Linked DNA regions of Caenorhabditis elegans. Changing the gene in region 1 together with any one later gene gives a genetic interaction. Each region holds a gene or a part of one and is shown on either strand. Other genes may lie near its edges.

Region 1 (6,721 bases):
TGATGGTCTTCCTTTCCTTTGGAGTATTGAACCATGTGGCGTGGCTTGACTGCAATAATTAAAATAAAAATCAGTTGAATTCGTCAATTTATTTTCAGGAAAACTTAAAATAAACTACAAAAATTTTTAATGCAACATCGTGCCAGACGAAGTTGCCAGACTAAAATCAGGAAATATACTATTTTTTTTAAGTAAATCATCAACTCACTTGGCAGGGCGAATTTGTAGACTCCGTAGAGAATGACTCCTGAGTAAATGTAGAAACGGAAGATTGGGAGGTACTTCCAGCAATGGCGCCAGGACCACATTCTCAACTGAAATTGTCATTATTTATTTTCTTCATACTTTCCGGGAAATCTTACGTATTCTTGAGCGGTCCATGGCCGGGCTGGCATGCGTGGATGAAGGTCTGTGGCCGGGATTGGAGCATTTGGAGAAGCAACGACGACGGCGGCTCCTTTGACTGTCTCGGCAGTCCACTTTGCTGCCTCAAAGAGCTTTCCTACGACCATAGTTGATTACCTACAAAACTAAAAATGATTATGTAGTTAAGCTTTATTTGAATATTGATATTTTTAAGCTAAAAAAAAAGATAATTGACATAATTCAACATCGTGAGAGCGTGGGGAAAAATTGAACGTGAATTGCAAGAAATAAACAAAATAACTTATATTTATCAATATTTTACATCGAAAAAAAACTCAAAAAGAGCAATTTTTAGCTTAAAAATAAAAAATTGGGAAGCCAAAAACTGACGGCGGTTTTCGTCCCGCCCCTTTTTGCAAGATTGTGCGTGCTCGCGGTTGTGTGCAAACACGCCGCACACACTTACGACGCTGCGTTTTTTGTCTGCCTCCTGTTCTCGTTCAAAACTGTTTCACCGTTCACCTCGTTTTTCTCTCACTTTTCTGTTTTTCTTATTGTTTTCTACTAGAATTATATCTATATTTGTTCAAAATATAATAAAAAGACGACGCTTGAAGTGTTTCGAATAGTTATTTTCACTGAGCTGCACCTGTCTAATAGACCCACCGTTCAAGGAAGAAAATATCGATTTGTAGGCACTGAATAATATTTTTTAAACATTTTTCGATTCAAAATAAAAATACTTCCAGCAATGGCGCCAGGAAATTCATTGGAGAACTCACTCTCAAATATTAATCTCAATTTCGTAAAATGCTATTATCAAAAAATATCAATAGCACAGGCCACGTGGCTTTTGTTTTTTATTTAAGCTCCTCCCACAACTTTATTTCCGAAGTGAATTTAAAAATTAAACTAAAGGTCAATCATGGGAGGAGCCTAAATAAAAAAGAAATAAAAATCAAAAGCCATGTGGCCTGTGCGATTGATATTTTTTGATAATAGATTGTGGCTGGCTAGTTTAGATTCCTGTAGAAATTGTGCCAAGAAAATTTAAATAATTTCAAGACAAGGCCCAAAAGACAGTATATCATATTGTCAGAATTTTTTATTCCTTGGCACTGGCGAAATTTTCCAGTGCTCTAAATTATTCCAAAAAACCACAGCCACCTGTTTAAGTATATGTCTTTGAAAATTATATTCCTTCAAAGTTTTTACAAAACCTCAATTCTTATATTTTTCCGCTTCAATGATCTTGCCGAATTCAGTTTATTGATCAAAATGTGTTATAGTAATGAGCGTTTTCACGTCGCGTTTATATCGATTACCAAAAATTAGCCAAAAACTCGATCAATACTGCATAACCTGTCTTACACCTTCTCCTTCTCTTCATTTTATTTTTCTTCGAGCAATCTTGTTATTTCAGTCTACTGCGACCATCAAACATGAACTCAAACGGCCCGTTGATGGAGCACGGTAAGCGCCGTGTCGCCTACTACTATGACTCCAACATTGGAAATTACTATTATGGTCAAGGGCACGTCATGAAGCCACATCGTATCAGAATGACCCATCATCTCGTTCTCAACTATGGTCTGTACCGGAATTTAGAGATTTTCGTAAGTAATATTTCTTCATTGAAATATTGTAAACGTTTAATTTTAGCGCCCATTCCCTGCATCATTCGAAGACATGACTCGTTTTCACAGCGACGAGTACATGACGTTTTTGAAGAGTGCGAATCCAGATAATCTGAAATCCTTCAACAAACAAATGCTTAAGTGTAAGTTATATTCTTTTTAAAACTAAATGTATTGTCTCATTTCAGTCAATGTTGGAGAAGATTGTCCTCTCTTTGATGGTCTTTATGAGTTCTGCCAACTCAGTTCGGGAGGTTCTCTGGCTGCTGCCACTAAATTGAACAAGCAGAAGGTGGACATTGCTATCAATTGGATGGGAGGCCTCCATCACGCCAAGAAAAGCGAGGCGTCCGGATTCTGTTACACCAATGACATCGTTCTCGGTATTCTCGAGCTTCTCAAGTACCACAAGCGAGTACTTTACGTCGATATTGATGTTCATCACGGAGATGGAGTAGAGGAGGCGTTCTATACGACTGATCGAGTAATGACAGTGTCATTCCATAAATATGGAGATTTCTTCCCAGGAACCGGAGACCTGAAAGATATAGGAGCTGGAAAAGGAAAGCTCTATTCAGTCAATGTTCCACTTCGCGATGGAATCACCGACGTCTCTTACCAGAGTATTTTTAAACCAATCATGACAAAGGTTATGGAGAGATTTGATCCCTGTGCTGTTGTTCTTCAATGTGGAGCTGATTCTCTCAACGGAGATAGACTTGGACCATTCAATCTGACCTTGAAAGGCCACGGAGAATGTGCTCGTTTCTTCCGAAGCTACAACGTTCCACTTATGATGGTCGGTGGAGGTGGATACACTCCAAGAAATGTGGCACGTTGTTGGACGTACGAAACCTCGATTGCCGTCGATAAGGAAGTTCCAAATGAGTTGCCATACAATGACTACTTCGAATACTTTGGACCAAACTACCGACTTCACATCGAGTCGTCGAATGCAGCAAATGAAAATAGCTCCGATATGCTGGCTAAATTGCAAACTGACGTCATCGCCAATCTCGAGCAGCTCACTTTTGTTCCAAGTGTTCAAATGAGACGTACGTTTTGAACGAATTTTTGTTCACTTTTTAGAATCTGTCAGAAAATTATTAGATGTTTGTTGAACACTTCATAATTATTCCATTTTTCAGCGATCCCAGAAGACGCCCTCTCTGCATTGAATGATGACTCATTGATCGCCGACCAAGCTAATCCCGACAAACGACTACCACCACAAATTACCGATGGAATGATTCAAGACGATGGAGACTTCTACGATGGTGAGCGTGAGGGAGATGATCGAAGAAACGAGAGCGATGCGAAGAGAGCAGCTCAGTTTGAGTCGGAAGGTGGTGAAAAGCGTCAGAAGACAGAGTAAAACACTAAAATGTGCCGCCGTCGAATTCAGTATCTCCTCTGAAAATAATATTCAATCACTGTACACCACTTTTTCCTTGTCAAATGAGTATTACTTTTTGATTTTCCTTAAATCTAATTTAATTTTCCGCCCAAATCCCAACTGTTTTATTTATTTTTCAAATTCAAGCACTTTTATTTGGAAGATCTCTTCACTTTTCCCCATTAATCCTTTTTTATCTCAGTATCCTTTACCCGTTTTGCACTTCCTCAACATCCTTACTCCTCACATCCACATCTAATCTACCCCCTTCAACGATTTCCATTTCTCTTGTCGTCCCACACTCCCCATTTTACTGGCACACAATTCCAATTCCACAGTCAGATCCTGAACACTTTTTTGTATTTTGGTGAATTTCTTCGTTTTTATTTATTTAATAAAATTGACTCGATTGGAACCGGCGCAACGTCTATCTTCAATTCGGAAATTGGAAAAATCGAATTTGTCACATTGGAATTCGAATGGAAGAAGACTAAAGTTTTTGCAGTTGACATCGTTTATGTCGTCAGTTTCAGCTGCTTCATAATTATTGTCTGGAAGCGAGCAATTATAACACGAATTATGATGACTACGCATGTGGTCTCATATTACAGAATAAATTCTCATTTCTATTTTCAATTGTATTCCTTGTCTGTCTTCATCTGATGTTGGATGGTGTGCTCCAAAACGGAGACCAACAAAAATTGCATCATAAAAATCCACTTATCCAAATTTTAGCCCCACCTGGGAATGGAATCGAATCGGCTCTCCGAGCACTCCTTTCACACAGAGACGGAGAGAGAAATTAGCTTTTTACTGGGTTCTTGTTGTTGAAAATGCAAAAAAGATGAAAACATGTTTCGATTCTTTCTTTGTTTTTCTTTTTTCTTTCCACTCATTCATACTTTTCATTGTTTGTCGTTCATTTTTCAAGTCTAAAATTCAGAAATATCGAAAAAAAAGGATATTCAATTTCGCAACGTAACCGATTTCCGGTTAGATATCAGCTTGAGCAGAAGGGGAGGTGCATGAAGAATAAAAGAAGAAGGAAGGGAGAAGCTCAATTTCAGTTGATGAACATTCGTTTTTTAGTTTTATGTGTCTTGTCCTCCATTGAACTTAACTCTTTAAAAATGGATTACCGGTTTTTGAACATCTCTTTTTCAGTTTATTAATCGCAACGTCACACGTAAAGCCGCAAGGGTTTATTCGGATGGGTCTCGCCACGAGGAAAAAGTTTAAGTGTACAGTTTAGAATGTACATCAAAAAGTTATACTTCAAACTTTTCTCGCAGCGAGACCCATATGATTAATTCTGTGCACCTTTAAGTTTCAGAAAACAGCGAAAGATAAATGAGATGACATGAGAAGTGTACTATTCTCTTTTTTTTTAATTTGGCAGCTGAAAATACCAAGAGAACGGAGTTCGTGGCGAGACCCATTGAGAAAATTGTACGTAATCTTCTGTACACTCACGAATTTACTATAAAATTTAAGAAAATATTATTTAAAGTTTTCTAGATGATTATTGAATCTATTTGAGATTTTCTGTTAGCCACAATTTGGCATAATTTTCAATGGATTCAAAGAATTTTCGTTAAATTTTTTTTCTAAATTTGAAATACTTTGAAATTCTTTAAAAAATCAAGTGAAGTGGTTTAATAAAAAGACTGAAAATATATTTAAAAAGGTTTTTGTCTCTTCGGGTACAATTTCAGATAGAAATTGACGAATTGAGATACAAAGCTTTTAAAGTTTACTGAAATCGTATTATTACAAAATGAACGCATATTAATTTTTCCAGAACAATTTTTTGTCGACAAAATGTAGGAAATGTGAGATCCGTGTAATAACGGAAATAGAGCTGGCAAGCCCAAGTTTTGAGAATCTCGTTTTAAAAAAGACCGTTACACTTTTTACCAATAAACCATATTATCACTTCAAGACGGTTTTTTACAGACTTTTAGGCATGTTGTGATATATATTTTAAACTATAGTTTAATCCATAGGAAAAATTCTGAAGCTTTTCGGACTTTTTTCTTTAAAAAAATTAGTGAACATTGAACACGGCTCTGGAATAAACCAAATTTCTTTATACTACTCGTCTTACTATTAGTTAGACAGTTTTCACATCTATAACAAGAATGATATTTTAACCAGAATTTCTTGAATATCCCAAGAAAAAGTCTTATTCTATGGTATTTTGCTATCTTCTCAAATTTCAAAGATCTTGAAAGTAAGTCGTTTGTTTTCTTTCACATTGTGGTCTAAAATTAAATGAAGTAAATATCTATGTACATCTGCGTCCATTCAATTTCCCACTTAAAACAGAAATAAATGTAGTGCCCTTGTTAATGAGCAAAAGTTGACCTTCATTGATGGAGTTGAGAATATCTGGAATCAATTATTTTCATTATTGACTTCCCCCTTTGTCTACTTCCTCGTTATTGAAATACTTATATTTCTAATTGGAACACTTGAATTTAGAGTCATAAACTTTTGAACATGATCTTTTTCTCGTTGAGTTATCTACCATTTTCCTCGTAAAACAACGATCGATAAAATCCAATAAAATCATCACTTTAATCTCGGATACCGGAAATTCGAATAAAATTGAAAATTGATCATGTGCTCCTCCAAATAATCATGTCGTTATGTTTCACCAACGCTTATTTTCCTCTCTTTTTTGAATATGAATAGTGTTTCTATGGTTTGAATGAATGATGTCATTTTGAATGGCACACTTGCCTTGCTTTCCATTATTTAACAATAGGCAAGTTCAGCCAATAATGTGGTAAATGTATTAAGTAAAGCTATGAATGAACCAAAAAGGTAAAGACGTGCATTTACTTTTTGGATTTGCGCAAACCTTCAAGAAATACACTAAAATGACTGTACTGACCTGAAGTTTTAAAGAATATTTATCTGAAAAGTTCAATTTGGAATTTTTCCATTTCACTTACTATTAGTTCATTATAGTTCAAAAGTAATGTTTTTAGTTTAAAGAAAGCCTGAAAAATATAAAAATTTGGTTATACTCCTTTCATATAGCTGATTTATTTTTATATATCCACAACTAAATTATATCAGTAGTTGGACTTTTATATTTACCTACTTGAACCCGAAAAAATTATTTATTTTTTAAAATTGTCTCAAAGTTATTTTCAACAGTAGAGCGTGTCTTCCAATAAACACAACATACACTTTGTTTGTGCTCATTAAAAAAATTAAAATATAACTTAAAAACATTAACTGCCACATTTATAGAAATGTTCAGTTAGAGATAGAAATTTTTAATCAAGCTCCCAATATTTAAATTCAAAAT
Region 2 (7,109 bases), on another chromosome or scaffold:
ATTTCACTTTATTTCGAATCAGCTGTCTTCGCTCTAATGAGAATTTTTTGAGTTTTCAATCAATATTATAATCGTCGATCGCGTTTTGAATGGTAGGCTCGAGTGCATATTCCAGAATTTCCAATTCCTTGTAGTTTTCATTTTGATTAAACTTAAACATTTCATATTTTCCCTGTTGATATTACAAAAGTTGAATTTTCTGCAAGCTGGTAAAGTCGACTGAATAAATATTTCAGTACCATAATATAATAAAATTGTCATTTCTGCCTGTATAGTTGTAGTAGACCCTAATCCATCATCTAGATTCTCGATCTCGGATAGGTATTTAGAAATTTTCAGAAATACGTCCTAATATTCAGTGTTGAGCTTCATCTAAGGTCATTCAAACACCTTCTTTTTTGATTGAGAAATCATCAAAGATTGCATTAAAATTCCTCATATATGTATTAAAATTGCTTACATTTAACCTTCCAGTAGTATTTGCTTACATGAAAAGTATTTCAACTTGACTTTCATAGGCCACTACAAAAAATTTAGCAACAGAGGAACACTTTGATCTAAAAAACCGATTTTAAATTTTGACTTGAATTTTTCACTGCTTTTCGGTGTCCGGCTGACCCGTGAAATTGCTCAAATGCTAATTTTGCAAACTTTTGGTGGTTTAAGTGGTAGGAAAACACAATGGAAGCTTTTTTGTAAGAACGCTGAAAATTTTCACATAAAATCGAGAATAATTTTAGATTTTTTTTCTTAAAAAATGAGCTGGATAAAACTTCTCTACAGAAAATTTTCAATAAAGTATTTAGCTGAACAGTAGTCTGAAATACTTTCAGATCGATATTTTTTCTAGTTCAAAAAGCTACTCTGCTGCTATGTCTTTTGTAAGTTACCGGTACAGTAATCAATGTTTCCTTCTAACTAGATACTATGTTTATTCATATCATTTTTGGTTTTCAGTTTAGGACCCTGTTGGAATTCTGCTTCCAACGAACATGACCGATTGTAGATTTTTCTATTCTAGAAATATTCGTATTCATTCACATATAATATACTCAACACGTCTAGCTATTCCCACACTTTATGTTTAAGAACAGTTCAATCATGCGCATTATCGTAAGAATCATGAATTACTGTATATTCGGATCCTTAATTGCACCTTCGATACCGAAAGATAAGGAAACGAGAGCGTAGAGAAACGGACGGAACGCCCAGCGCTGAGCAGTAGAGGGGCGCATAGAGTGTGAAACGGAGGCCCCGCCCCATCTCGGCCACACTATTACAATCTTGAGGACAGCAGCACGGCGTCGTCGTCCGGAATCTCAGTCTTCATCGTCGTCAACTTCAGAAGTCTATTGGGATGACTGAGAACTACTGCCAGTCTACCACCCTCCGCCACCCTGTCGCTCCGCCTCTCTTGGTGATATCGACAGTCGGACGAGGAGGGCTATTGCCCCGCCTCTCGCACTTTTTGAACTGCCGCTCTTCCGTCCTCCTCAGTTTTTTTGCTTCTCCGGTGGTATTTGATAATTTCCTTTTAGAACATTACACTTTCGATTATTCTCTATCTATTCAAGCCACTGCCGGCTCATGAGAGTTCAATGCGAGCTCACAAACTGAACCATTAAGTGCTCAATCGTGGTTATCGATTTTTCAGAGCTTCAAGTCTGGCTCTTACTCTGGCATTACACGAAGTGATAATATACAGTATTCAACTACTAAATACTATTGCTCTACGATTTTCTATGTATTTTGCTCCTAGTAGCTCAAATTCATTATTAAATTTAACTTTTATCTTTGCAACCTCATCATTCATCTATCTGTTTCGCTCTCGTTCTCTCATCTTTCAAACTTTGTTAATAATGTTATTTTCTTCAATATCACACCAAAAATTATAATCAAAACTTTCATCTCGATCCATTAGATGCTTGTAAACGGAGCCTGTCCAAATGGCATATTCCTTCGTGTGCGTGCGTGTCGCGTGCGGTTAATGTTCTACCGTATCTCGCGAAACGCGGTTTTCGTTGCGAGACACCCACAGCATGGGGCACCCGCTGTCGGCGTTCTCTCCCGATACACACTACTTCGTGGGTGGCTGACTCGTGCTGTCTGTCGTCTCTCCCACTGACCATGTTATTTTGACGAACGGTGTTCTGCGCTTCTTCACGATCATGAACTTTTGAACGTGTCACGTGGAAAATGTTTTGCAACTTTTTAAGTCAAAATACAGTTCAGAATCGGGTCAGTAGTACCATGTGAATCGACGGGATCATCTGAGAAAGAGAAGTTAGCCTCATAAGGTTGGCTTAGCAAATATCGATCGAGCTAGATATACCTGTAAGTATCTAGAGCATTCATGTTTTTAATGGTCCCAAACACCTTTAATGCTTAAAAATACCCGAATTTCACAATATAGATGCCCGCCTTCTTCATTATGCATAGTATTTTTTAAAAATATCTCTCAAGACTGCATAACAACTTTTTTTTGTTAATCCGTATATTACTATAGTGTTTCTAATTAAAATTTGTTTTCGAAGTTTTGCAAAATTGGCTATGAATCCAATTTTAAGCTCTAAATTTATGATAGCTACAGTAACCCATTCATTGGAATTTGATGTTATTAATTCAATTTTAGCATTTAAACGCTCCTTCTCTATTATTACACGCTTAAACAACTTATACAATGGTGCAGGTAAACTTTAAAAAGTGCAACCATCCTCCGTTCATTCTATTGATTTTCCATCTCCTTCTCTCTCACTGTCTGTCTCTCTTCAATTCGCCTCCTCTTTTCATAAGTGCTCTCGCTCTCTAACCACCCTCCACTCATTACTTCACCGATGTTCTTCTCACTCTTCCTCCTCCCTCCTCCGTTCACCGACAAAAATCCATATATCCATTTCATTTTTTTCAGAAACAAACAGCTATATCTGGTGATTTTGCCAAACTAACCCAAATAAGCGGGAACTCTGATGAAGTAGTGGTTGACGTGGGAATTCAAAAACCGACGGACGCAACCAATTCAGGTGTTCCGAGAAGTAGAAAGAGTTCACTTGGTTCGAATTTTGTCAAATATATACATTTTTCTACTAATTGATGGATGAACCACCATCAAAAAAATCTCGCGCTGATAGCGGTAAGTTGCTAGGAAAGTTAAGATGCTACGGTATGATCCTTTAAACTTTTCAGACTATGATTCTGGGTTAGATGCGCTAAGTGCTCTCGAAAGTCTCGAAGCATTCCCAACTTCTAGTAAAGATACAGATGTAAGTTTTTTTGTTTGAATTAACACTCTGTTTTATAAAAATTGTTGTTCAGGTAGACAATAATCCAAGCACATCAGCTGGAGGATCCGGTGGTCCTTCTGGCTCGACACCTCATCCACAAGGCACTCCACAACCAGCACCATCAAACAATGGCGGGTTCAATCTACAACCAGGACAGTCGCAACCTCAGCAGCCGCCACAGAATATGGGAGGAGGTGTCAATGGATCAGTGCTTCAAGAACTTCTAATGAATCCATCACAAACGTCGAACAATTCACCTCGGCCGCAGGCATATCCGCCTGGACAGCAAAATGCATTTAATAGGAGTCCAATGATGCCAAATGGTACACCGAATATGATGTCACCTCCATCTATGGGTCGAGTGCCGGGGCCCAGTCCTGGAGGTCCACAACCACCAGGCCCAGGCCAACCACAAATGCGACCAGGCCAACCAGGAATGTTCCAAGGAGATCAGCAACAGCAAATGATGATGGGTGCACAAGGACAACAATTCCCAGGAATGATGCATCGATATCCGTACGCACAAGGTGGTCCTCCACCAGGAGCCCAGGGAATGCCTCAAGGATATCCAGGAGTTAGTCGGGGCGGACCAACTCCTGGACAACCCATGGGACGTGGTGCTATGATGAATGGAGCAATGCCAAGAAGTGGACCAATGCCGACACAAGGAAGACCTGGAATACCTCCAAACCAACAAGCAATGATGCAGCCAATGATGACTGATCGGCAGTTTATGCAACACGGACAATATGGTCAGCAGCGACCAGAATTTATGCAACAATATGGTCGTCCCGGTGGATATCCAATGATGCATCAAGGGGTAAGTAGAAACTATTTCCTGATTTCTATTTCATTTTGGTTTGATCTTTAAAAAATGCGGGAATTTTTTTTGTTTTTAACCTAGAAAATTGGTAAGATCAGCATGATCTTAACTGTGCGATTCTGACAATTTTTGAAGATCAAACAAAAATGGAACACTTATTAGCTTGACGTGAATTTGGCCAAATCAAAATCGATGTGTAATTGAAACTTAAGTTTCCAATAATTCCCTAATCTTCCACAAATATTGGTTGGAAGTTGCTTGGAATCATAACAATAATCTTCTACATTTCAGATGATGATGGACAGTAATGGTCAACCGATTCGAGGCCCGAATCAAATGATGATGATGAGCAATGGGCATCCAGGAATGTCACACGGTCCTCCAAATGGTCAACCTGGACCACAAGCTGCTGCAGCACAACACGCTGCTCAACAGCAAGCTGCTGCACAAGCTCAAGCTCAGGCGGCTGCACAACAACAACAGCAGCAACAACGAGAGCAAGAAGCTGCGGCGGCAGCTCAACGAAATGGTGCTGGAAGGGCGACAACTCCTGGATCAAGCATGCTTGCAACGCATCAAGATCCCGAGAAGCGGAAGCTTATTCAGCAACAACTTGTTCTATTACTTCATGCACACAAATGTTCTCAACGTGAGAAGGTATGTTATACAGTATGTTCTGGTTTCCTTCATACATCATCAGCTTTTACAGGAAAATCGTGATTTCGCTGCGAAGAATCAACCACCTCCACATGCTGCCTGTACATTACCCCATTGCTCAACGATGAAAGAAGTATTGACACACATGACAAGCTGCAATGTTGGTCGTTTATGTCATTGTAAGTATATTACCCGTCGTGTCGCTTCTTTTTCTCTATCTGGAAAGAGTTTCGAACATTTTCGCAAGAAGAAGCGCCTATTCCCACCCAAAATTTCGCTTCACTCTAGCCACTGTTTGAAATCTCTTTCAGCCGATACCACACAAACTACAAAAAAATGTTCAGTCGCTCATTGTGCATCGTCTCGCCAAATAATAGCTCACTGGAAAAACTGCTCAAGGGAAGATTGTCCTGTCTGCAAACCACTCAAAAGGATACAAGATACTCCATTACAATTTTCATGTACGTTCTATCCTACTCAAGAACATTTTTTAAATATTTGATTATTTTCAGTGCCCGATCTTGCAAATCTAATAGGAGTCAACGGGAATTCGAACGGAAGCGCAGAAGGTGATGGACTTCATCAGTTTGGATCGCCAGCGATGCGAACTGGAAATATTACAAATTCTCTATTCGAAGGATTCAATGGCAATCCATTCCAAAACGGACCAAATCGTGGAGGACCGAGACCACCTGGTGGAAATGGAGAAATTCCAAACTTGCCACCACCAGATATGCCAGATTGTACGAAAGAATGGCATCATCAAGTCACAAAAGATCTCAGAAATCACCTTGTCGGAAAATTGGTTAAAGCGATTTTCCCGGAACCGAATCAGGAAGCGATGAATGATAATCGGTTAAAAGATTTGATAGCCTATGCCAGAAAAGTCGAAAAAGAGATGTTTGAATCTGCAAATGACAGAGAAGAGTATTATCATTTGTTGGCTGAGAAAATTTACAAGATACAAAAAGAGCTTCAAGAGAAAAAGAATTCAAGACTCAATCAAGGAGCTGCTGCACATGATCGTAAGTTTTTTTTTTTTAAAATTTCACCCTTTAACCAATTTTCATTTCAGAATACGCAATTCCACCGTCGAACGAGCTCGCTCAGATGCTTGGTGTGGAAGGTGGACGTAGTGATGTTCATTCTGAAGGAAGTAGTATGGCAGTTGCACCAAGTCAACAAAATCAACCATGGGGAGGTGCTCCGAATTCCAACATGCATCAGCAGATTCCTCCGAATGGACAAGTTCCACAGGTCAATAATTCTTCGACATTCCCGTCAAGTGGTAACAGCACTCCAAACATCGGAGCTTCATCTACTGTCAGTGCTATGCTGCAACCGAAAACTGAACCCATGGACGATCAGAATACAGATTCGTTAAGTTCAAGACCACCAACGGCTATTGGATTCGGTGGCTCGAGCTCATCAACGCCAGCTCCAATTATGAACGGAATTGTTAAGAAGGAAGAAGATCCTGAAGAGTCTTCAAATCAAGCTCCTCCATCAGTTAAGGATACTAAGGATGGTGTAGCTGAATCGAAACCTAAAGAGCAACAAGCAAAGCGAGAACCTACCCCGCCACCAACTGAAGATACAGTGTTCAGTCAAGAGGATCTTATAAAATTCTTGCTTCCTGTATGGGAGAAGCTAGATAAATCCGAAGACGCTGCACCATTCCGAGTTCCAGTCGATGCAAAACTTTTAAATATTCCCGATTATCACGAGATCATCAAGCGCCCAATGGATTTGGAAACCGTTCACAAGAAATTGTATGCGGGTCAGTATCAAAACGCTGGTCAATTCTGTGATGACATTTGGCTGATGCTTGACAATGCTTGGCTGTATAACAGAAAGAACAGTAAAGTATACAAATACGGTCTTAAGCTGTCGGAAATGTTTGTGAGTGAAATGGATCCAGTGATGAAGAGTATGGGATACTGTTGTGCCAAGAAACTTGCATTCACACCTCTTTCATTGTTCTGTTACGGTGCAGCAATGTGCACGATAGCCAGAGAACAGCAATACTGGGTATTCGAACAAAGTTCTACGCAGTACAATGTGACAGTTACGGAGAGATATACTTATTGTCAGAAATGTTTCGATGCTCTTCCTCCTGAAGGAATATCACTTTCCGAAAATCCCAACGATCGAAACAACATGGCACCGAAAACATCGTTTACGGAACAGAAGAACAGTGTTATTGATTATGAGCCTTTCGAGAGATGTAAATATTGTATGAGGAAATGGCATCGGATATGTGCACTTCATGATAAGAAAGTTTATCCAGAAGGATTTATATGCGAATGTTGCCGGACTGCTAAGAAATATCAAAAGCCAGATAACAA
Region 3 (7,670 bases), on another chromosome or scaffold:
TATGTTCTAATTATGTAAAATATGCATATTTCAACATTTTAAAGGTTTAAACATGATACAGTGATATAGATTTTTCGAAAAGTAAAAACACAGTTTTCAACGCCTTTTGACTCAAAATAAAAATTGAATTATAATATTTGACCATTTGAGTACAATATATGGTAAGAATGGTTTTATTGATTTTCCCACAGGCCGTATAGTCCACCGTTATTCAATCAAAGTATTAATTTCAATTTATTTAACTAAATGTAAAATTTCAGAGCCGGTGCTAGTCTGGTCCAACTCTATTCCGCGTTCGTCTATGAAGGATTTCCGGTAATCGGAAAAATCAAACGAGAACTTGTCGAACTTTTACGGAAAGATGGATTTTCGCATGTTTCGGAAGCAATTGGAGCTGATCACAGAGAAAAAACGAAATAATTATATTCCCAAGATTTTTGTTATTTTTTCAGGTTGACTTCATTTTCATGGGTGTTTCAAAATTGTTTTATAATTGAATTATTTTCTTCCGATGTTCAATGTGCCTTTTCATGAGATTGTAGGGTAATTCTTAGTATTTTCTGCATAAATTATTTGATTTCCTTATGTTTTTTTTTTCAATTTATACTAAAGTTTCTGGTTTTCAACCGAAATATATCACTTTTGAATAATTTTCAACGACTTAGAGACCATTTTTTGTTTCAGGGTTCATCAATTATGTCGGAGCTACGTGTCATTTCTCTCGATGAGGTCTCAAAGCACAACTGGGAAGATGCTGATCAATCGTGTTGGATTGTCATCTCCGGAAAGGTAATTTTTTTTTCATTTTTTAAATTTAAATATCGAAATCATTCCTTACAGGTCTACGATGTGACAAAGTTCTTGAATGAGCATCCAGGAGGTGAAGAAGTCATCACTCAATTAGCCGGTAAAGATGCTACAGTTGGATTCCTCGATGTTGGGCACTCAAAAGATGCTATTGAAATGGCCAATGAATATCTCATTGGTCAATTGCCAGAATCAGACGTTCCAAAAGTCGAGACAGCGGCTGCGAAACCTTCGAAAAACGAAAAATCATCATCTCTCCTCAATGATTTCACCGAAATTATGACTTCACCAACATGGACCAACTTCCTGATTCCAACTACAATGGGACTTGTCATTTATGCCGTGTACAAGTGCATGTTCAATTAAATTACCTTAGCTCTTATCCTATTCTTTTGATCTTATGCGCCCACTTTCTTGAAATGCATCAAAGAACATTTGTTTCTATGGACTTTTATATATGTGATAAAGATTTGTTGTCAATATTTTCATATGTTACTGAAGGAAAAATGGGTGGAGCCTTGGAGATATCGATGTAACTTTAGTCGCAAGATTAGTCCTATTGAAACAATTAAAAAAAATATTCAGATCAAATGCTTCGTCAGATTCTTCGTCCAATTTTGAGTATGGATTTTACACAAAAAACAATTTTCTAATTTCTTGACGATTCAGATTCTTCCCGCCGATTCGCAGATATAAAACCAAAACAAAGTGCGAAGGAGAAGGTGATGGCTGAGAAGACACCGAAAGGAGCACTTGATAAAGCAGACGAACAACAATATGAAGATCCTCACCTCAAGAAACATCCGGGAGGTGTGAATAAGTCAACTGGAGAAGTTGGTGGACCAGCTGGACCAGAGCCAACTCGATATGGTGATTGGGAGAGGAAGGGAAGAGTTTCAGATTTTTGAAATGTTTTATTAATTGCTGTTAAAGTCAAGTCAGATCATCATTGTTTTGTAGTGCAAATAAATAAATGTTTTAAACATAGAGTGACATTAATCGTAATAGGGTACACAAATACGAAAATTTGACAAACGAAATTAGAAGAGATGAGAGAGATGAAACGATTATCGTACAGAATAGGGGTTTTGAGTATCATGATCATAAATTCACTGCGGAAAAAAATTAATATTCAACTGCATAGAGAGTTGCCTTCTTCTCCCCTGATCCAGTGACAATGAGTGAGTCGTCGAATGAGATGTCACATGAGAGAACGGAGCTGTTCTCTTTTAGTTGAAAGAGTGATGCTCCGTATGGAGTACGCCAGGCGTTGAGAGCATTGTCCTGAAAAATTGAGATTATGAGGTTTCAATTAGAAAAATTGAGCCAATTACCGTATTTCTTCTATTAATATGGCTGCAATACTATTTTTCGATGGTCTTCCCGCTTGCAAGACTAATAGGGAGTGCAAGAATATTAGGGAGTGCAATACTAATTTTCAGAATATTTTTCTGACTTTGAGCTTACTAGTTTTTTTCTGAAAAAGCTCGAATCTTATGTAAAAATACAAAAAATTTTGATTTTAATTGTAACCTATAAGTTCAAAAACTTCAATTTCGTATAAATTTTGTGAAAAATTGTTGCACAATAGGCAAAAAATATTGTTGAAATCCTGAAATTAGCGAGATGGGTTTGCAATAAAAAAAAAGTAAACGCAAGACTATTAGAGAGTGCAATAGGGAGTGCCATACTAATTTTTGGAAGGTCTCCGAGGGGCAATACTAATAGGGAGTGCAAGTCTAATAGGGAGGCCATACTAATAGAAGAAATACGGTAAATGACAAAGTATAATCAAAACATACCTTTCCAGTTGAAATGAAGAACTTTCCGGAATGCGCAAATTTGAGCGAAAGGACGCATGATTCGTGTTGTGTCAATTGATACTTTTCTTTTCCAGTTGTTGACAGAACCTCGACATAATTATTCTCCATACCAACAGCCACCCATTCATCATTTGGACAACATCCAAGAGAGAAAACTTGGCTCGCAAAATCATGCTTCGCAACTTCCTTTCGTTGTGCAAGATCCCAGCATCTAACAGAATTGTCAAGACCACCTGACCAGAGCTTTGTACCATCTTTTGAGAGATCGAGACATGATGCTCCATCTTGATGTCCAGGTAGGGTTCCAACTTTCACCTTATTATGGATATCATAAATGAGGATATTTCCATCAGCAAGACATGCGAACAATAATTTCTCATCTGGTGACATCGCCAACGCGTAGCATGCTTGTGAATCAGTTTCCAAGTCCAAAGTTTTTGTTTCAGTTGTAAGATCCCAAAGAGCAACAGTACTGGCTTCTCCTCCAATCAGAAGTGTATTTCCATCTTCAAAGAGTTTACAAGATCTAATATAGTTCTCTTTGAGACAATCCAAGGATGCAATTGGAGGCCGATTCACAACCGTTGCGCCAGAAATATCTGATTCTTTGACATCCCAGATCTTAACACATCCTTTTCCACCAGTATAAACACGACTGTTATCACGGGAAATTGTGGCCGCACAAACTACTTCTCCGTGATTTAATTCCATTTTCTTCTTGAGACCTCTGCAATTTTTTTTTTCAAATTTGAATCAAAGCCAATTATTATATTTTCTTACGTCGGAATTCCGGGACCTTTCTGTGCATCTGGAGGGAAGGATGTAGGTGTTGGAACTCCACCGTCCACAATTTTGAATGAATAGGCCGGTCTGCTACCGATTTGCCCGATGGCAGCTGCAAGACGGGCCTGTGCATGGGGATCATTCAAAAAGTTGAATCCTCCAGCAGCACTAGCTTGTCGGAGAAGATTTGGATCTGAAAATTGAAATATTTTGGCATTGCCTGAAGTTTTGGTATTTGCTCCCTCCACTTAGCACACTTCAAAAGATTGTAAACACGTACTGAATCCAGCTAAAAAGTTCATTTGCTCCAATCCTTGAAGCCCAGCGAGTGGCTGCTGTTGTTGTCTTGCTCTAGAATTTGATGCGATGCTCGGTGTAGATGCTCCCGATGAGGCAACACTATTTGTGCTATCTCTTCCATTTTTATTAGCTGCGCCTCCATTTGATGCAGTACTTGGATGATCATCATTTGTGACATCAATCTCAAGTTCTCCATCATCTGGATCTTCCAGCTTGGCCTTTTTCGCTTCACTTGCACCTCCAGAACTTCCACCGGCTCCATCTCCACCGTTGACATGTGGTGATGCGAATTGATTGAATAGTTGACTCATTGCAGGGCTCATTCCGAATGGCATATTTGGCATCATTCCAAGCATTCCAGCTGCACCGGGAGGAAAACCTGGTGGAAGTGCTGGTGCTCCATTTCCATTTTCACGTGGTGATGCGGTTTTGAAAGCTTCCAGTGCGGCGAGGCAGTTTGCTTGATTATCTTGAGATAGTTGAGGAGCCAACTGAAAAATATACATTTATAATATTACCTAAAATTGATTATTATGAATTAAAAATATTACATAATAATTTTTCTTCTATTTATAAATGAATATATGGAAAGAGGAGCATGTTTGAGTTGAACAAGGTACAATCCAATAGATATTATAACGTTTCCATAATATTTAGTTCAAATATTTCAACAAAAAAATTGTAATAGCTTTTTCTATATTTTTGTTCGATTTTTTAATAACATTATTGACGAGTTAATTTACCGATTGCATGATGAATTCCTGAAGGCGTTTGTTGATTTCTTCTGCTTTTCGAAGATCGCTACGAAGAGTATTTGATACTTCAGCGTACGTCATATACGATCTATTCATATTTTCTTTCTCTAACGCAACCTTTTCGATATCCGACTGCAAAATTGTTTTCAATATACTAAAATTTCTCTTACAAAATTAAGCTTACTCGTTGCTGGTTGACATGCTTCGACATTTCCGCATGCTCGTCTTTGATTCGATCGAGGGTTTCCAGATACGATGCCTTCATTTTTACTGAAAATTAAATACAATCAAGTGGATAGTGAATTATTAACATAAAAATTATGAGAGGAGTTTTAAAAATTCGATCAAAAAAATGCAAGGAAGAACAGACTAGTGATGGATTGGGAGAAGACAACAAAACTCAAGAAATAGCACGTGGTTTGAATAGACGTTGACAACGAGACGAAGAAACAAAGAAAGAGGACATGGGTTTCCAGTGGTGTAGACGGAGAGAATCATACATTAATTGCAAAACGACTGGTCATATAGCCCCACTAACGTTGAAGAATGAAGGAGGTATTGGTGTCGAGGAGGACGAACGCGCGGCGATGAATGCGACGCTGAATGGGTGACCGAATGGGGGGAGGAGTTGTCGATAGAGCACATTTGTTTTGAGCTCTTTTGAGCCCGAGTGTAGAAGATGAATGTATCCAATAAGTTTGATATTCAAGTAACACGAGGATCCGAGGATTTCTAACTAATATTTCGAATCAAACACGATGAAGCTGCAACTTACTATAGAGAGAAGCATTTATAAATATTTTACATGTACATAATCACAATTCCAGTATAAAAAACTCACAAAATTATCTAAAAAAACGGAAAAGGTTGAAATATTGAATAAAGAGACATAAACCTGTCTTGAAGAAAATATTTTTAAAAAATCATGTTTAACAAATAATAAGTTTATTGACATGGTATGTTCTTAAATAATTTGAGATTGAAAATCGGTAAGAAAATGAGATGAGAATCAAATGATAATAGTGAAAATTGAGATTCAAATGGAAAGAATAAAAACTCTTGAATGATTCTATTAGATTAAACAACAAGACGGTATACTGTAGCAGTCATGAAAATTTAAAAAAAAACCAAAACATGAATGAAGCTCCATTTTGTCATTTGTAACTAATTAGAAGCATTCCGGAGTGTTGAAGAATATATTACACATATAAAAACTCGAGAGTTTAAACTCATTAGGAAATCAAATATAATTGTCGTTTCATTGCTAACTGATCAGAAGACTGGACTCGTGCCTCTGGAGACACTTTCTTCTTCGTCATCAACCTCCTGCTTCACCTAAAAATACATTTTTAGATTAAGAGTGCAAGTCGTCTCGTGAAAAATATATTCTTGAACACGACACTTGATTTAAGGGCAGCGTAAATTTATATAAGGATTAAGGTAAATGAAGCTATCAACAACTAACAAGGTTATGCCCTTTGATCAATCATTTCATTTCAGTAATTGACACATTCATTTCCCACAATGTTAGATTTTATCGAAAAAGGAGGGATGTGATGGGTGGTTATAAACATTCAAAGATTCGAGAAGGCGATAATTGGTTGGATGTGTGTAACAGATGGTGGTGAGACGATGGTGTACACATTTGTTTGCACTTTATGTCATCATTATGACAACGAATACAATGAAAGTCAGATTTATGTTCCAGAAATAGAAAATTCCCATATAAGGGTCACCTTGGGTCAAATTGATGTCGGTTGATGGAAAAGGGATGTTTAATGGGTGAATGAGAATAATAAAATGTATGTGGTCGAGGCATTTGGAACTACATACATTTTATGTCTGGGATGCCGCTGTTTTAGATCATTTCACAAATTGAAATGAACATTTGACACAAATGTGGTCCTATTAATCAGCGCATTGAAACAGTTTCGCACCGAATATCCACAATTTATATTGAAAAATAATGATTTCTTTTTTATTCAAAACATCATAGGAATTGTTGAAACAGTAAACTATTTTTGGATTTTAACATTTGTAAGATTTTTGAAAGATATGGAGACTTACTTTAATTTTTTCGAAATTTTAATTGCCGAATTGTTTTTTGAAACTTTATTTTTTAGAGTTAAAGTTTTTGTCCAAATAAAATATTTTTCGGCCTTAGAATTAATCAGCTCAAGTAGTGGTTACACAACTCATAAAATCTCGTACACATACCACTCCAACAGTGTTCTCTTGATCTCTTGGCTCTTCGGGTTCTTCGGAGCTTCTTCTTGCAGATGTTGTACTCTCTTCAGTTTCTTCTATTTCTTCATCTTCCATACTTGGGTCCCTACGGCCTCGTTTGGTGGCTCTGAAAGCATCTCGTTACTTGAAAATTATTTAAAGAAACAAAAGAGGATTCAATAATAAACTGGAGAAACAATACTTTTTGAAATTTAAAACGTACGGTTCACAAACTTCTTCATTAGCTTGCCCGCTCAATTTGTTGCGAAGAACTTCCATATCGATTCGGAAGTCACGATATCCAATTGAATTGTTCTTTAAAAATATTTTTGAAAATGTCTAAAAAAAAGATTTTCAAATATATAATTTTGTAGCTTGAAGGTCACAGCCAAGGCTGCATTTTTCGCTTTATTCTGTGTTTCTGGCGAAAAATCTATTTTTTGTGCTTTTACCGGATAAAATTGATATAAAAAAACGAAAAAAAGCGACATTTTTAATTATCTTTTCACTACCCGAAAATGTATGCATTTTGAAATTTTACGCTTTTTGTCAAAAAACGACACTCGAAAATGTCTATAGGTTCAAAATTTTCGTGAAAACGCCTCAGACTAGTTTCGAAAGTAATAACTGTTGTTTTTGTCTTTTTTTTGGGTTTTGGCGAAATTTTATTCCGTTTATGTTTTAGAAAAAAAATCAATTTTTCGTCCACAGCCCTAATGACAGCTACAAAAGGAATAAATAAGTTTCTTACGAAATAAATTACAATTTAAACTCCCAATTGATATATCTACGTACCTTGATCTGAAGATCAAATCGATCATCTTTAATGAGCTTACAAAGAACAAGAATTCCATGTTGAACAGCTTCTCTTTCGTGTGAAAACTTTGAAAATAGTTTTTCGTCTCGTTTCGATTTTGCATATCTTGTTTTCTGTGAAATCTTTTTCTTCATTTCATCTTTTCCTTTCGAGAATCCA

The links. Genes that interact genetically often act in the same process or in processes that back each other up.
Region 2: of hda-1 (region 1) and cbp-1, changing one suppresses a phenotype caused by changing the other (phenotypic suppression), as found in Caenorhabditis elegans (one study listed by BioGRID).
Region 3: of hda-1 (region 1) and unc-37, changing one enhances a phenotype caused by changing the other (phenotypic enhancement), as found in Caenorhabditis elegans (one study listed by BioGRID).

Annotation. Positions count from the first base shown.
Region 1 is NC_003283.11:14,523,600-14,530,320, forward strand, and holds hda-1 (Histone deacetylase 1), read left to right. Parts: upstream 1-1,789; 5' UTR 1,790-1,808; coding exon 1,809-1,982; intron 1,983-2,028; coding exon 2,029-2,146; intron 2,147-2,191; coding exon 2,192-3,058; intron 3,059-3,151; coding exon 3,152-3,378; 3' UTR 3,379-3,812; downstream 3,813-6,721. Other genes in the region: ril-1 (RNAi-Induced Longevity), read right to left, coding at 1-49, 209-314, 363-512.
Region 2 is NC_003281.10:9,763,608-9,770,716, forward strand, and holds the start of cbp-1 (Protein cbp-1), read left to right. Parts: upstream 1-2,902; 5' UTR 2,903-3,090; coding exon 3,091-3,130; intron 3,131-3,183; coding exon 3,184-3,260; intron 3,261-3,312; coding exon 3,313-4,101; intron 4,102-4,395; coding exon 4,396-4,761; intron 4,762-4,813; coding exon 4,814-4,940; intron 4,941-5,072; coding exon 5,073-5,222; intron 5,223-5,273; coding exon 5,274-5,786; intron 5,787-5,836; coding exon 5,837-7,109. UniProt on the Caenorhabditis elegans protein: Acetyltransferase enzyme. Acetylates histones, giving a specific tag for transcriptional activation. May prevent DNA damage-induced apoptosis by inhibiting cep-1-dependent transcription activation of the programmed cell death activator egl-1.
Region 3 is NC_003279.8:6,740,592-6,748,261, forward strand, and holds unc-37 (Transcription factor unc-37), read right to left. Parts: upstream 4,739-7,670; 5' UTR 4,734-4,738; coding exon 4,653-4,733; intron 4,601-4,652; coding exon 4,457-4,600; intron 4,205-4,456; coding exon 3,694-4,204; intron 3,607-3,693; coding exon 3,411-3,606; intron 3,358-3,410; coding exon 2,610-3,357; intron 2,092-2,609; coding exon 1,933-2,091; 3' UTR 1,716-1,932; downstream 1-1,715. Other genes in the region: dhod-1 (Dihydroorotate dehydrogenase (quinone), mitochondrial), read left to right, coding at 261-420; cytb-5.2 (Cytochrome b5 heme-binding domain-containing protein), read left to right, coding at 697-789, 841-1,173; W02D3.12 (Succinate dehydrogenase assembly factor 4, mitochondrial), read left to right, coding at 1,398-1,428, 1,477-1,715; fnci-1 (FANCI helical domain-containing protein), read right to left, coding at 5,741-5,803, 6,686-6,821, 6,918-7,009, 7,490-7,670. UniProt on the Caenorhabditis elegans protein: Transcriptional corepressor that functions with the neural specificity gene unc-4 to govern motor neuron identity. In concert with unc-4, represses the expression of VB-specific genes such as ceh-12, thereby preventing the adoption of VB motor neuron fate.